Linked DNA regions of Nothobranchius furzeri. The protein of the gene in region 2 interacts with the protein of the main gene of each other region in a pairwise test. Links are inferred from orthologs where the notes say so. Each region holds a gene or a part of one and is shown on either strand. Other genes may lie near its edges.

What was found.
Region 1: the proteins of clasrp (region 2) and dab1a interact in a two-hybrid assay, tested with the Homo sapiens proteins (2 studies listed by BioGRID and IntAct). The link is inferred for Nothobranchius furzeri from reciprocal best matches to the Homo sapiens genes CLASRP and DAB1.
Region 3: the proteins of clasrp (region 2) and dazap2 interact in a two-hybrid assay, tested with the Homo sapiens proteins (2 studies listed by BioGRID and IntAct). The link is inferred for Nothobranchius furzeri from reciprocal best matches to the Homo sapiens genes CLASRP and DAZAP2.

The regions. Positions count from the first base shown.
Region 1 is NC_091748.1:41,557,459-41,561,109, reverse strand, and holds part of dab1a (disabled homolog 1), read left to right. Parts: intron 1-1,572; coding exon 1,573-1,692; intron 1,693-2,004; coding exon 2,005-2,043; intron 2,044-2,421; coding exon 2,422-2,484; intron 2,485-3,651. UniProt on the Homo sapiens protein: Signaling adapter of the reelin-mediated signaling pathway, which regulates the migration and differentiation of postmitotic neurons during brain development.
Region 2 is NC_091753.1:42,034,885-42,038,535, forward strand, and holds part of clasrp (CLK4-associating serine/arginine rich protein), read right to left. Parts: intron 2,618-3,651; 5' UTR 2,577-2,617; coding exon 2,478-2,576; intron 2,349-2,477; coding exon 2,251-2,348; intron 2,169-2,250; coding exon 2,067-2,168; intron 1,851-2,066; coding exon 1,771-1,850; intron 1,613-1,770; coding exon 1,528-1,612; intron 1,418-1,527; coding exon 1,281-1,417; intron 1-1,280. UniProt on the Homo sapiens protein: Probably functions as an alternative splicing regulator. May regulate the mRNA splicing of genes such as CLK1. May act by regulating members of the CLK kinase family.
Region 3 is NC_091755.1:37,294,016-37,298,265, forward strand, and holds the start of dazap2 (DAZ-associated protein 2), read right to left. Parts: upstream 2,814-4,250; 5' UTR 2,663-2,813; coding exon 2,650-2,662; intron 740-2,649; coding exon 621-739; intron 527-620; coding exon 278-526; intron 196-277; coding exon 67-195; 3' UTR 1-66. UniProt on the Homo sapiens protein: In unstressed cells, promotes SIAH1-mediated polyubiquitination and degradation of the serine/threonine-protein kinase HIPK2, probably by acting as a loading factor that potentiates complex formation between HIPK2 and ubiquitin ligase SIAH1.

The DNA.
Region 1 (3,651 bases), on a different chromosome or scaffold from region 2:
TCATATCACGGTATTTTTAAAAATGATATCGGTTTTACGGTATTTGACGGTATTTTTCACAAGGCCGTGATTACCCAGATTATTTTTATAAGAAAATAATTACTGCACTAGAATGGCCCGTTTTACCTTCATGTGCAGAATACCAGTTTTTCCATGTCCAGTCACAGGCAGGTAAATGCAGAAACCCCCTCAAAGTATCCTTGTCAAAAGAAAGCAGTTAAGAAAAAACTACTAGAACGATAAAATATTGCAGTCAAAATAAACTATTTTTATTGAACACATTTTGCATATAATCTGTGCAGTTAACCATCTTTATGATTTAACCATCGTTATTGCGTTGGTTATCTCGACCCACCGCTTGCTTTTTTTTAAATACAGTCCCTTTAGCGAACGCGTCTTTAATGGACGTCTGACTCTGACTGCTACTAGCCGTTTTAGCCTTGGAGGTGGAGGGTGCAGATCGAAGCTTGAGACATGCTTGGTAATCCAAGAGGAGTTTTCTGCTGAGGTGATGAAGCAAGTTGCTGGTGTTACCCCCGCCGGCTACCACCGTTGCTCGACAGCATTAGCATATAAAAGTTGTTTGCTCCACGTCCGAACTTTTAAACCCGAAAAACCTCCAAACAACAGACGTGGCTCCTCTTTTTGGAATAAGTTCTTCTGCGTTCGAAGTTTTGATGTCGCCGTGACAGCTCCCGCCAGCCGCCAGCCACCATTCTTGGTTTCACCACGCTGTGGTGTTTGTGTGTAGCAGTGAAATGAGTCCCCGCTGAAACACTTTCCTACTAAGAACGTTCTGTACGTTGTTTAGGCCTTTCACCGGTATAGCGGTATGTGAAAAATTCATATCATAACCAAAATAAACACTGGTTTTTAGTATGACCCGGTATACCGCCCAAGACTAGCTTGCCCCCCCCCCCCCCGCTTGCTCCAGGGAAGGTCTCAGCCTCACGTTAAAAGTTACAGTCTAGAAGGCAGAGGGCAGCAGAGTCACTCAACTGTGATTCTCTGGCTAAAAGCGTCCGCCACCCTCCGTTAGCTTCGGTTAGCTCTGTTAGCTCGTAGCTACACCGACACAGAGTTTGATGTGTGTCACTCATCTGCCCCTACCCTCACATCCCCACTTTCAATGGCCACGATGGCAGAGGTGGGAACCGCCCACTGGGCTTCAATTCAGTCCTTCAGAAATCTGGTGATGGTCTGGGGATGTTCGTTATATATTACAATTATAACATTGTTTTCTAGATCAAAACGACTATAATTCCACAATCTCTGAACATAAACCAACGGTTTCATAAAAAGCATCTAACATCGTGCTTTGAAGAATTAAAAAAACTTTAGTTTGTAACGCGTTTGAACTTTGTGGTGCACATGCTCAGAAAAGCTCCTCCTGTATGATTTGGTTAACTCAATGCCCACAACTCAAGCAGAAAATGGTCTTCTGTCACCAAGCAGCACTGGTTCTTCTATGTCTTCTTAACTTGTGTAAATATTTACTGCGTCTGTCTGATTTTTGATGAGGCCTGTGCTCTGGTTGGGTACAGTGTGGATAATGGGTTCTTGTCGTCCCAGGCTGAGCCAGTGATTCTGGACCTGCGGGACCTGTTCCAGCTCATTTATGAGATAAAGCAGCGGGAGGAGATGGAGAAGAAGGCCCAAAAAGACAAGCAGTGTGAGCAGGCGGTCTACCAGGTACTTTTAAAGATTTCACCTTTATGGTTTATCTCCTAATGGTCCTATCAGGTAAGACTTGAAATACCAGGGAGTGATGGAGCACCTACTTTTTGATTTATTCTGTGACACACAGTGCATGTTTCACTGTCCACCGTTTCATTTCTCTGTTTCCCGTGTTTCCTCTAATACTCGCTAAATGATTATTGGAATGCTGGGAGGTCTTTCCGTGCTTTCCTCCTACTCTTTAACTCTCCGACTCTTCTCTCTTCTGTTCTCTTTTTCCTCCCTTTTTGATCTCTCCCACTCCTTCCTGCCGGCGCGTGTATGCAGACAATCCTGGAGGAGGATCTGGAGGACCCGGTCTACCAGGTAACTCCCTGACCAATCACATCGCTGCTGTCACCTGCTGCACTTCGAGCTTGCTCCTCTGTGTGTGCACTGTGGGGAGACAGCTCCTGTTTGGGTTCGGTGTGGTAGTTGTGCAGATGTTTTTCTCGTGTAGGAGAGTTCGTGAGTCTGTGTCTCAGTGAGCGCATGCACAGCTAAAACGTGTTCGTTTCCTACTGTTTGTTGTTTTTCCTGCTGCCTGAAGTCGTCTCCACGAGTCACTTAGATCTGTTCTTTAACTGCCTTTTAATGGGAGTCTACTGACGATGCTGTTTTTGCTAATCACCTCCACAGCTTAACCACTTCTCTCTCTCTATGATCCTGTTTTCCTCCTGCTTCTCTTTGCTGCTGACGCTTTAGTACATTGTGTTTGAGGCGGGACACGAACCCATCCGTGACCAATCAGAAGAGAGCATTTATCAGGTACTCACAAGCTCATTTTGTTTGCTTGTGTCTTATGTAGCTTCAACTACAGTTCCTGTGGCCAAACTGCTGACGAGAAGTTAAACGCATTTAAGCTACAAAGATTTAATCTTCATTTACTGGCTGATCTCTACGAGCTACATTACTCTTTAATGGGATAAATGTAATGTGGCCCGCACATAAAATTAATTGCTTCTGTTTTTAACACATAAAAAAGAGGATACAGGAAATTAAAGACTTTATAAATCTGTGGAAACCTCCCAGCCGACGCTTTCCCAAGTGCCGATTCAGCTAACGCTAGTTAGTCTGGGGAGATGATTCGTCCTCTGGGTGTAGTCCTCCGAGAACGAGTTACACCTCCAAGGGATGAAGGGGGGGAGGTGCATGTGGAGGGGATGCAGTGGTTATTCTTGGCCCTTATGGAAGGCAGGCCCTCATTTTTGCACCTCCCCTCTCCTCTTTCCCGAGGAGATGAAAGAAAGCTGGGGGGGGGGGGGGTAATCACCAGCTTCTCGTTTGATCTTTAAATAAAACAGATTGAAAATAAAACAGACTGAAAATAGGGGGAAGTGCTGGCGCGTGCACCAAAACAAACACACTTACAAGCAAATCCCGACTTACACGTCAGGCTCGAGCAACGTGAGCCCCAGCCTGCCTCCGGCCACAGAGGGACTGATGTAGGAATAAAGATGGCAGCTTCTGGAAATAAACATGAGAGAGAAGTAAACAAGGCAGTGACAGGAGGAACGTGCTGGATAGATGTCCACGTTTTTCATCAGCAGGATCTTTTTCATTCAGACTGATTAGTTAACAGCAGAGCCCGACCTTCAGAGGGAGGAGCAATAGGAGCTGTTATGATTCAAACGAGCGCCATGCTATCACATCATCTGTGTCACACAGACAAAACTATCTGGCCGTGTGACGAGAGGTATTACATGTCTCAACATATGTGACACTGTGAGTTATTACATGTCTGTGGCTGTGATCAGCAGGCTGGATAAGGCCTTTATCAACCCAGCAGATGAGCCTTCACGCGACTGATTTTAATCCCGATCGTCCCAGCCCACACCCAGAAGCAGGACTAGCTAGTGATCTGGTTCCTGAAGGGATTTGTGTTGGCCGTGTTGAAATGCTGGAACGGTCCCGTGATGCTGAGGTAACTGGCTC
Region 2 (3,651 bases):
GACACGATCCTCTATCACGCTCCTACCACACAGAGTCACGGTGTCAGTTAACCATGCTAATTCAACCCACTCCACAGAACACACATCAACTTCCCTGTGGCTTACATAACACTCCCACAACACGCAAATCAGCACATAGGAACTAGCAGAACGATAGGAAACACATATAACACAATACCCAGAATGCACCTGGCTTACAACCCCAGCCAGGTCATTACACTATCAAGTTCAAAGAGAACGTGCTGATTATGCTGCAGAACACTCTGGAGAGCAGCAGTAGGGGGTGTATGAACTAGTCAACTTCACTATAGTGACTTTTTATGCCTGTCGTCGACTAGTCGCTGTCACGTGATAATGACCGGCAAGATGCAGCCCTCGGAAAAGACAGCAGTCTGCTGTCAGCAGGTGACAAGCTCCTGCGCTCGGGGGTGGGGGCAACGCGCTGTGCCAGACCGTAGGTACTGACACGCGATCGTTCATGTTGGTTCATTTCCTTTAATGTTTTCTGTCTTTTATTTGCGCCTGATGCGTTTGCTGCATGCTGTGGAGCGGGGCGCTGCGCGCATCACCTTGTCCTCCGACGCACTGATCACTGATACGGCCGACAAACAGCGAGCACTCCGCTGTTTTTGCGGTCGGTAGATCTTTTAGAACTGCAGTTCAAAGGTAACTCATGAGGTGGATATATATGAACCCAGGTAGCAGTTTTTCTTTAGGATTGAGAGGAGATGCAGGAAGATAATAAACAGACAGGACAGAAAAATAGTCAAATAAAAACAAGTTAGTTTTTGTACCTGCTGTTGCAACAAACAGCCACCATTGATGGTCATCAGAAGTGAGGAACAGAAAATGAAATAATTATTTTAATGTTTAGAGCAGCAGGAACTCCCGAGAGGCTGCAGGCGCATCAGTGAGTTTGCGGCCGCTGCGCAGGGGGAGGGGGGAGAGGGCTAAAGCAGGGGGAGGGGGGAGAGGGCTAAAGCAGGGGGAGGGGGGAGAGGGCTAAAGCAGGGGGAGGGGGGAGATGGCTGAAGCAGAAACTACCGTTGTTAAAAGAAATGTGTTTAACTTTGAAAATGTGGGCGCAATTTTAATTGTCAAAAACTCCAAGGAACATTAGTTCATTTTGCTCAAATGGAAATAGAGGCCTGCCTCTAATACTGGCCCTCCTTCCAATAAAGGCCTGGAGCTTGATGAGCTTGAGTCAAATAGAGGCCCGGGCCTGTATTAGAGGATTTACGGTAAATGTCCCAGGTATTTTGCGTGCAATTTTTCCTCACCAATATCAGGAATGCCTTCGTCCTCTTCGGATTCACTGTTCTCCGAGTTATCTTCATCTTTATCTGACTGGGAGTGCGGCTCCAGCACCGTGCTGTCTTCATACGTGTAACCGATGGCAACCTTTTTCTCTGCAAGTCTGCAAAACAAGGGAGAGGATTTGTGAATGAAAGAGCAGCTCACATTACACAGCAAATAACGACAACATTAAAAAACAAAGATTATGAAACCACTTTAACATTTACTTACTTCTTCTTCTCTTCCTCATTTGGCTTCGACAGGCCACCGTAGAGCTCGTCCAGGTAAATCTGGTACAAACACTGCTCCTCCGAGACTGCAGAAAGACATCAGAGGGTTAAAAGGCAGAACACAACAGCAGAATATTCCCACTGAGAGCAAATTAAGTCACCAATAATCGCCAAATCTGCAAATGTACAGATCTGTATGCTTGCACTAAAAATAAAACTGGAATTCTGACAAGTAAATACTCACTGGTGGCAAAGTCGTTTTGTACTAGGCCCCTGTAGCGCTCATAATTACACTTCCTCTCCTCCATGTCCTGCTCTGGGGTGCTGTATGAAAAAAGGAGATGATTAGATTTTTATTTTGGAAAAGAAATAGTATCATAAAAGTAACAAAACCTGAAATTAAAGGTCTCGTTGTTCTGTCACAACACTTTAAATAAACTAATATAAGAGGAAAGGAGGCATTTTTCTTCCATAATGTCCACCAAACAGGCTCACACTGTTTAAATGTAACGTGGGTAAAAAAGTCTTTCAGACACTTACGATGTGCTGAGCAGAGGAGGGGTGTAAGTTGGGATGTAGTCCAGGTGAGCCCTCACATCAAACCTGTCAATCATGTTGTTGGCATCTCCTTGCCAAGGCATCCTTTAAACAGAACAGAGGAGGGAGGCTTATCATCACATTCTCAGTGCTGTGGTTTTAAGTCCATGCAGATGATTCTTCTCACATGTTTGCTGGGCTCTCTGCAGCCAGCGCCACCGCAGGATCCAAGTGGATCTTGTAGGCTCGGCTGTGAACTTGGAGGAACTGAGCCGGATCTTTTTTCTGTTAGGAAACAACAAGAGCCGGTTAAACACAACAAATTATCACACTAAAGACTGATCATTAAAAGATAAGTATATTTAAACAAAATATGTGTTATGTGTTGCTCAGCTAGATGACAAAATCTCTCACGATCTTCTCATAGTACTCCCTCCGGCGCTCTCCGCGGCGTTTGTAGTCCACCATCATGCCACGGAGCTTGCGCTCATGTTTGCGGGCCTCCTGCCACATGACGGCACCGCTGGGGGTGGGAGCGCGTCTAGGCACGGCTGCTGCTCAGGGGTGAACGGGAAGCAACACAAAAAAGAGCAATTAGGGATATACGTTATATCGGCATCGGTCAATGTTCGTCATTTTTGAACATAACGCATCGGTCTGATATGTGAAACTGGACTGATATTCACAAACAGTAGGCCTGGGACAATAACAAATTTTGCTGCATGATATATTGTCCAAAAAATTATTGACGATAAACGATAATATTGTCGACATTATTGAGACAAAAAAAAAACACTTATGTAATGTAAATATCATAATAATGCAAGTACACACTTTAAAATGCAACAATTAAACCTTTATTTAACACAGGAAAGTCCAGAACCAAAACTTCTAAATAAAACAAACAAACAAAAAATAAATAAATGAAAAAGGATTTTCAATCTTTGTTAAAAAATATTGCACCAATAACAATAAAATAGACCCTGTCTCTCCAAAACAATAAATACAATGGCCTATCCAGTGCCAAAAACCAAAACTGCACTTCAATAATGATAATAAATAAAGATAATAATAATAACAGAGTTGTACATTTCTTAGCCTTGATATATTGATGCTGGAAATATTTAGTACATTTTCATCTATCATACGATTAATTGATTTATTGATTATCGTCCCAGCCCAAACAAACAGTATTTTTTTTCCCATCTAGTAGCCATTTGTGTATCAGTTTCAGAAGGGGGGGGGGGGGGGGGGGGGATGCATAACGGTTTGGTGATATGACAGTGACACTCATCTCAGAAGCGTAAATGTGTGTGGTGAGTATATAACAGGGACTGAAGCAAAAAATTCTCATCTGACTGGAAATTATTGGTAGGGGGGCTCACATTGTTTACACGTGGCCACTATTCAGGTTTTGATTGATTTTAAGGTCAGTATTCTTGTTTCTGAAAATTTTGGAATAGCCCGTTCACATACACAGTGTTTAAAAGTGTGGGTGTTGAGATTTCTCCGAGGTAAAAAAGATGACAAGTATTAAAGTACTCTAGGGGAGTCCTGCGGCACGCCCCCCCCCCCCCCCCCCCCCCCC
Region 3 (4,250 bases), on a different chromosome or scaffold from region 2:
GGGTCTGGGGAATCATCTGGGACGGGGGTACGGTTTAGGCATAAACAAGGAGGGGAGTAGCTGCTGTTACCAGATGGTATAACCTCCACTGGATCCGCCCAGGAAGAAGTTGTTCTTGCGCTGTGTCATGACAACATTGGCACCCTGCATGGCAGCCAGCTGAGCTGCATTAGGGGGGTGTCCAGGGGGTGGGGGCTAGAGAAGAGGAGAAACGAGCTCAGTGGCAGGTTAAGAGTTACAAAGGCCTTGGCTACAGGTTAAGTCACTCCGTACTCACTGGGATGGAAACACTGCTGCCAGCTGTGAAACGAGCTCCAGCATCAAAGCCACCGTCCACCATCACTGTTGAACCAGGGGGGTAAACAGCTCCCATGTGATAGTAAGCCATGGGAACGTTCTGGCCCACCGGACCAACGGGCATGTGTGGCTGCATGGGCATGTACACCTGAGCACCAGGGTAGGGAGAGGACATCTGAGGCACCTGACCAGGCACCTGAGGTGGAAGCACGTATCTGGGCTGGTATATCTGCATACAAAGACACGAGAAACAGATTTAATTGAAGAATACTAAAAAAAAAAAAAAAGCTAATCTAGGCTTGACCTGTAGATGCAAGCGTTACCTCAGAATATGCAGGTGGTGTGTCTGAGTATGGAGGTGCCTGAGGAGACATTTGCATAGCAGGAGGGTATACAGGTGCAGAGCTCTGCTGAGGGTACACAGCCTGCTGTGGGTATGAGCCTGCAAAACAACATTTCACTTTTAAACACGCACAGCTGAAGAATTATGGGATGAGAACCGTTTCATTATTACTAGGGATGTAAGAAAATATCGATATGGCAATATATCGTGATATTTTTCGCAGCAATATTATATCGATATTCAAAAGCTGTGTATCAGAAATATCGATATGGCAATATATCGCGATATTTTTCCAGCAATATTATATCGATATTCAAAAGCCGCATATAGGAAATATCGATATGGCAATATATCGTGATATTTTTCCCTGTGATTATTACATTGATATTCAAAAGCCGTGTATCTAATTCTTGAAAGAATGCAAACATGCAAACATTTGTGTATTTTCTTTTCGTTTTGTGCAATTCAATCGCCACCCGCTAGTTGGCAGCAGTGTGCAACGGGTTTTGTTTCCACCATTGAACTGTAAATCCCTCCATCATGGTTCAGATACCTCATGTTAAACATGTTACATATCAGTTTTGACTGTTTATTGAACATGCTTATAATAAATTCAGTAAAAAATAGCTTGTAACGTCTGACTGAATGTATCGCAATATATCAGGATACATCGTATCGTCTCCCCTGTATCGTGATATGTATCGTATCGCCAGAATTACAAAAATACACATCCCTGATTATTACTAATGACTTTGACTACTAACATTAAGCTGCAAGTACTTCTTCTCAATCATCATCATCATCATAAATAAACTGATGCTGCTTCTGAGTGGAGATGGGAGGGAGCTGATTACATTTACAGCTAAATACATGAAATTATTACTGATGTGAACGCAACTACTGAGTGGTACACGTTACAGAAAATCCCAATGTCTTGTATACTGAAGCTAACGTTGGTCTTTTTCGGGTACAACTTTGAACGTTTCTACATTTTACAGACAAAAGAACAAAAACCAGATTTTGACACAAAGTGTCTTTAGGTCCAACATTTGGCGGCAGTAAAAGAAAGAACAATGTTTAAATATTGATGGAAACATGTTATTTAATATCATCAGGGGGGATTTATTTAAGCAACTGAAACTGTTGTGCATAATTATAACAAACTATGTGATGACTGTAGCAAGTCTGTCACTGCCAAGAGAGTTTCTAGTTTTGTTTTGAGTGCATTGTATGGCAAACAATACCAGGAAACTAGACATAATCACTTTTCTCAGCCCAGACAGTATAAGCAAAGGGTAAAAATGTATTACTTGTAAAAACACAAGTGAACGGATTAGAAATTAATAAAATGTAAATGGAAGATTTTATTATAAAGCCGAATCTGATTAACACAACGCACAAAAGCCTGGTGGTTAGTAAACAAATGTGAATTTTACATTTTCTTTGTCTTTCCAACATGACAAATCGACCATCGCGCATTACAGTTTGAATAAAATGTCTGCTTCTATTTTAGCTTTAGTGAAACAATTAATTCAGTAAGAAAAATATCATGAAATGTCATTAGCATTAGCCACGAACAAAGATGTCATGCTACAAAAAGACAATCTAAGCTCAAATAAGACAAACAAAAGAAGAAATAAACAACCTGGTGCATTTTTGCGCCGAACAGGTCTAAAAACATAAATGTAACCGGGATGTTCTTTGTTAACAAGAACTCCCCCCCTCCCCAACAAAAACAGGAAAGCCATGTCAGATTTGCTTTTATAATCACGTTAGCTTGCTGGAACACATCTGACCGGCCCGTTTTGGTCAAATAACAAAATGTGAAACTAAATTCGGACATCCGACGTTAGCAATATCCAAGACAGCTTGGTTCGGAGTGTGCGTCAGTTTATTGTTATGTACGTAGCTTCAGTTGGCCACAACGCGAGCTCCTCGTCTTTCCTTACAACGCCAACGTCAAGTAACGAGTAGCTAGCTGGAAAATGAAACACACGACGGAGAAATACCTTTGTTATTCATTGTTGTGGACTGATTCGGAGGCTGAGGAACATCAGATTAAACGGCGCTTTGTGTATCTTGTCTCGGCCTTATAATAGCTTACGGCTTGACACTTCCTTGTTTCTCAGCTTCTTGTTGTTGTGGAAGTGGTTACGTCACCCGTTCTTTATCTGCGGTCGGACGCACGCTCAGTTTCACCTGCACGCGCGCGCCCCCTTCTGGAGGAAATGAGATTTGTTTTTAAAGGAATATGAAAAGCACAAAAAACCCTAAATATTAGCTAAACGTAAAATGAAATTAATACTTAAGTGCGTACTACAATCAGTGTTGGGCAAGTTACTTCAATACTGTAATGCATTATCTATTACTTGTTACCCTCATTTTAAAGTAATTCATTACATTACAATATTACTGATTTTAAAATGTAAGGCATTAAACTACTTTTGAACTACTTTAAGTTACTTTCAACAATACAACTTCAATATGAATCTGGTAATCTGACGCTCAGTGAGCTCATGACATATATGTGGAAAGTGATGTGGTGTCTGAGCAAGCCCCCACAATGCAAGAGCAAGTCTATGGAAACCCATTGTCCATATATGTATGTCGATGTGTCTGAGCTAGCTAGGGTTGCTGTTAAAAACAGTCAGATATAATAACAGTGCTTTAAAATTATTGTTTATTAAATAAAAGCAACAACAATCTGTACTCTCAGCACGCTGCCATCTTATATTAACTGAGCATGGTGGGGGCTCCAAGCCTATATTTGCCTTGGTCCCCAAATGCCTTGATATGGCCCTGGATGTGGGACTGACTTCTGGGGTGATCTGATTCTATCACATGTATAAATATTAAATGCTTATATATTATTGCTTTTCACTGGTAAAAATGTGTATTGGGGATAAATCTACCTACTTTTTTCTTTTGAAGCACTTTGTTTTGTTTTCTTGATTTTATTTGAATAATTTCCTGCCCTTTTTCTCTCTAACCTTCCTGCATGCTGCATGTTTTCTCCGTCTTCCAGAAAAACTGTTCCCTAAATTTCTTACTTTCTAACTAATCAGCCAAAGGGATCTACCAAACCCACAAAAAAATAAAATAAACATTTTTTTAAAAAAAGCTTAATATTCGTTGCGCTCCAGCAGCAATAAGTTGAAATCACCGGGGCACAGATTATGAAGTCAGCTGAAAAGTACATGAAGTACCAGAGAATATGGACTGATATAAACGATCGCACACGAATTACTTTGTTTTGGTCAGAGGCGTGTCCAGGGAGTGGCCTGGGGTAGCACATGCCACCCTTGGAATCTGATTGGCCACCCCAGGTGCCATCACACTAATTTACCTTTAAATAGGCTTTTCATTGTCCACAAAAGGCTTGGGGGTAAAACAAAAAAAGCATAACCATTGGTGCCACCCATGCACAAAGTTGTCCCTCAACTGGGCCACCCCATTTTAAAAGATATGGACACGCCACTGGTTTTGGTGGAGCGATTTTGTGAATATAACAGCGGCCGCGCGCAGGACGCAGCTGGAGTATTTGAGCCATTACCGCTGCGTCCTCTCTGCTCATAGAACGCCCGCAAAGCTGAGTCCATAAATGACGTCA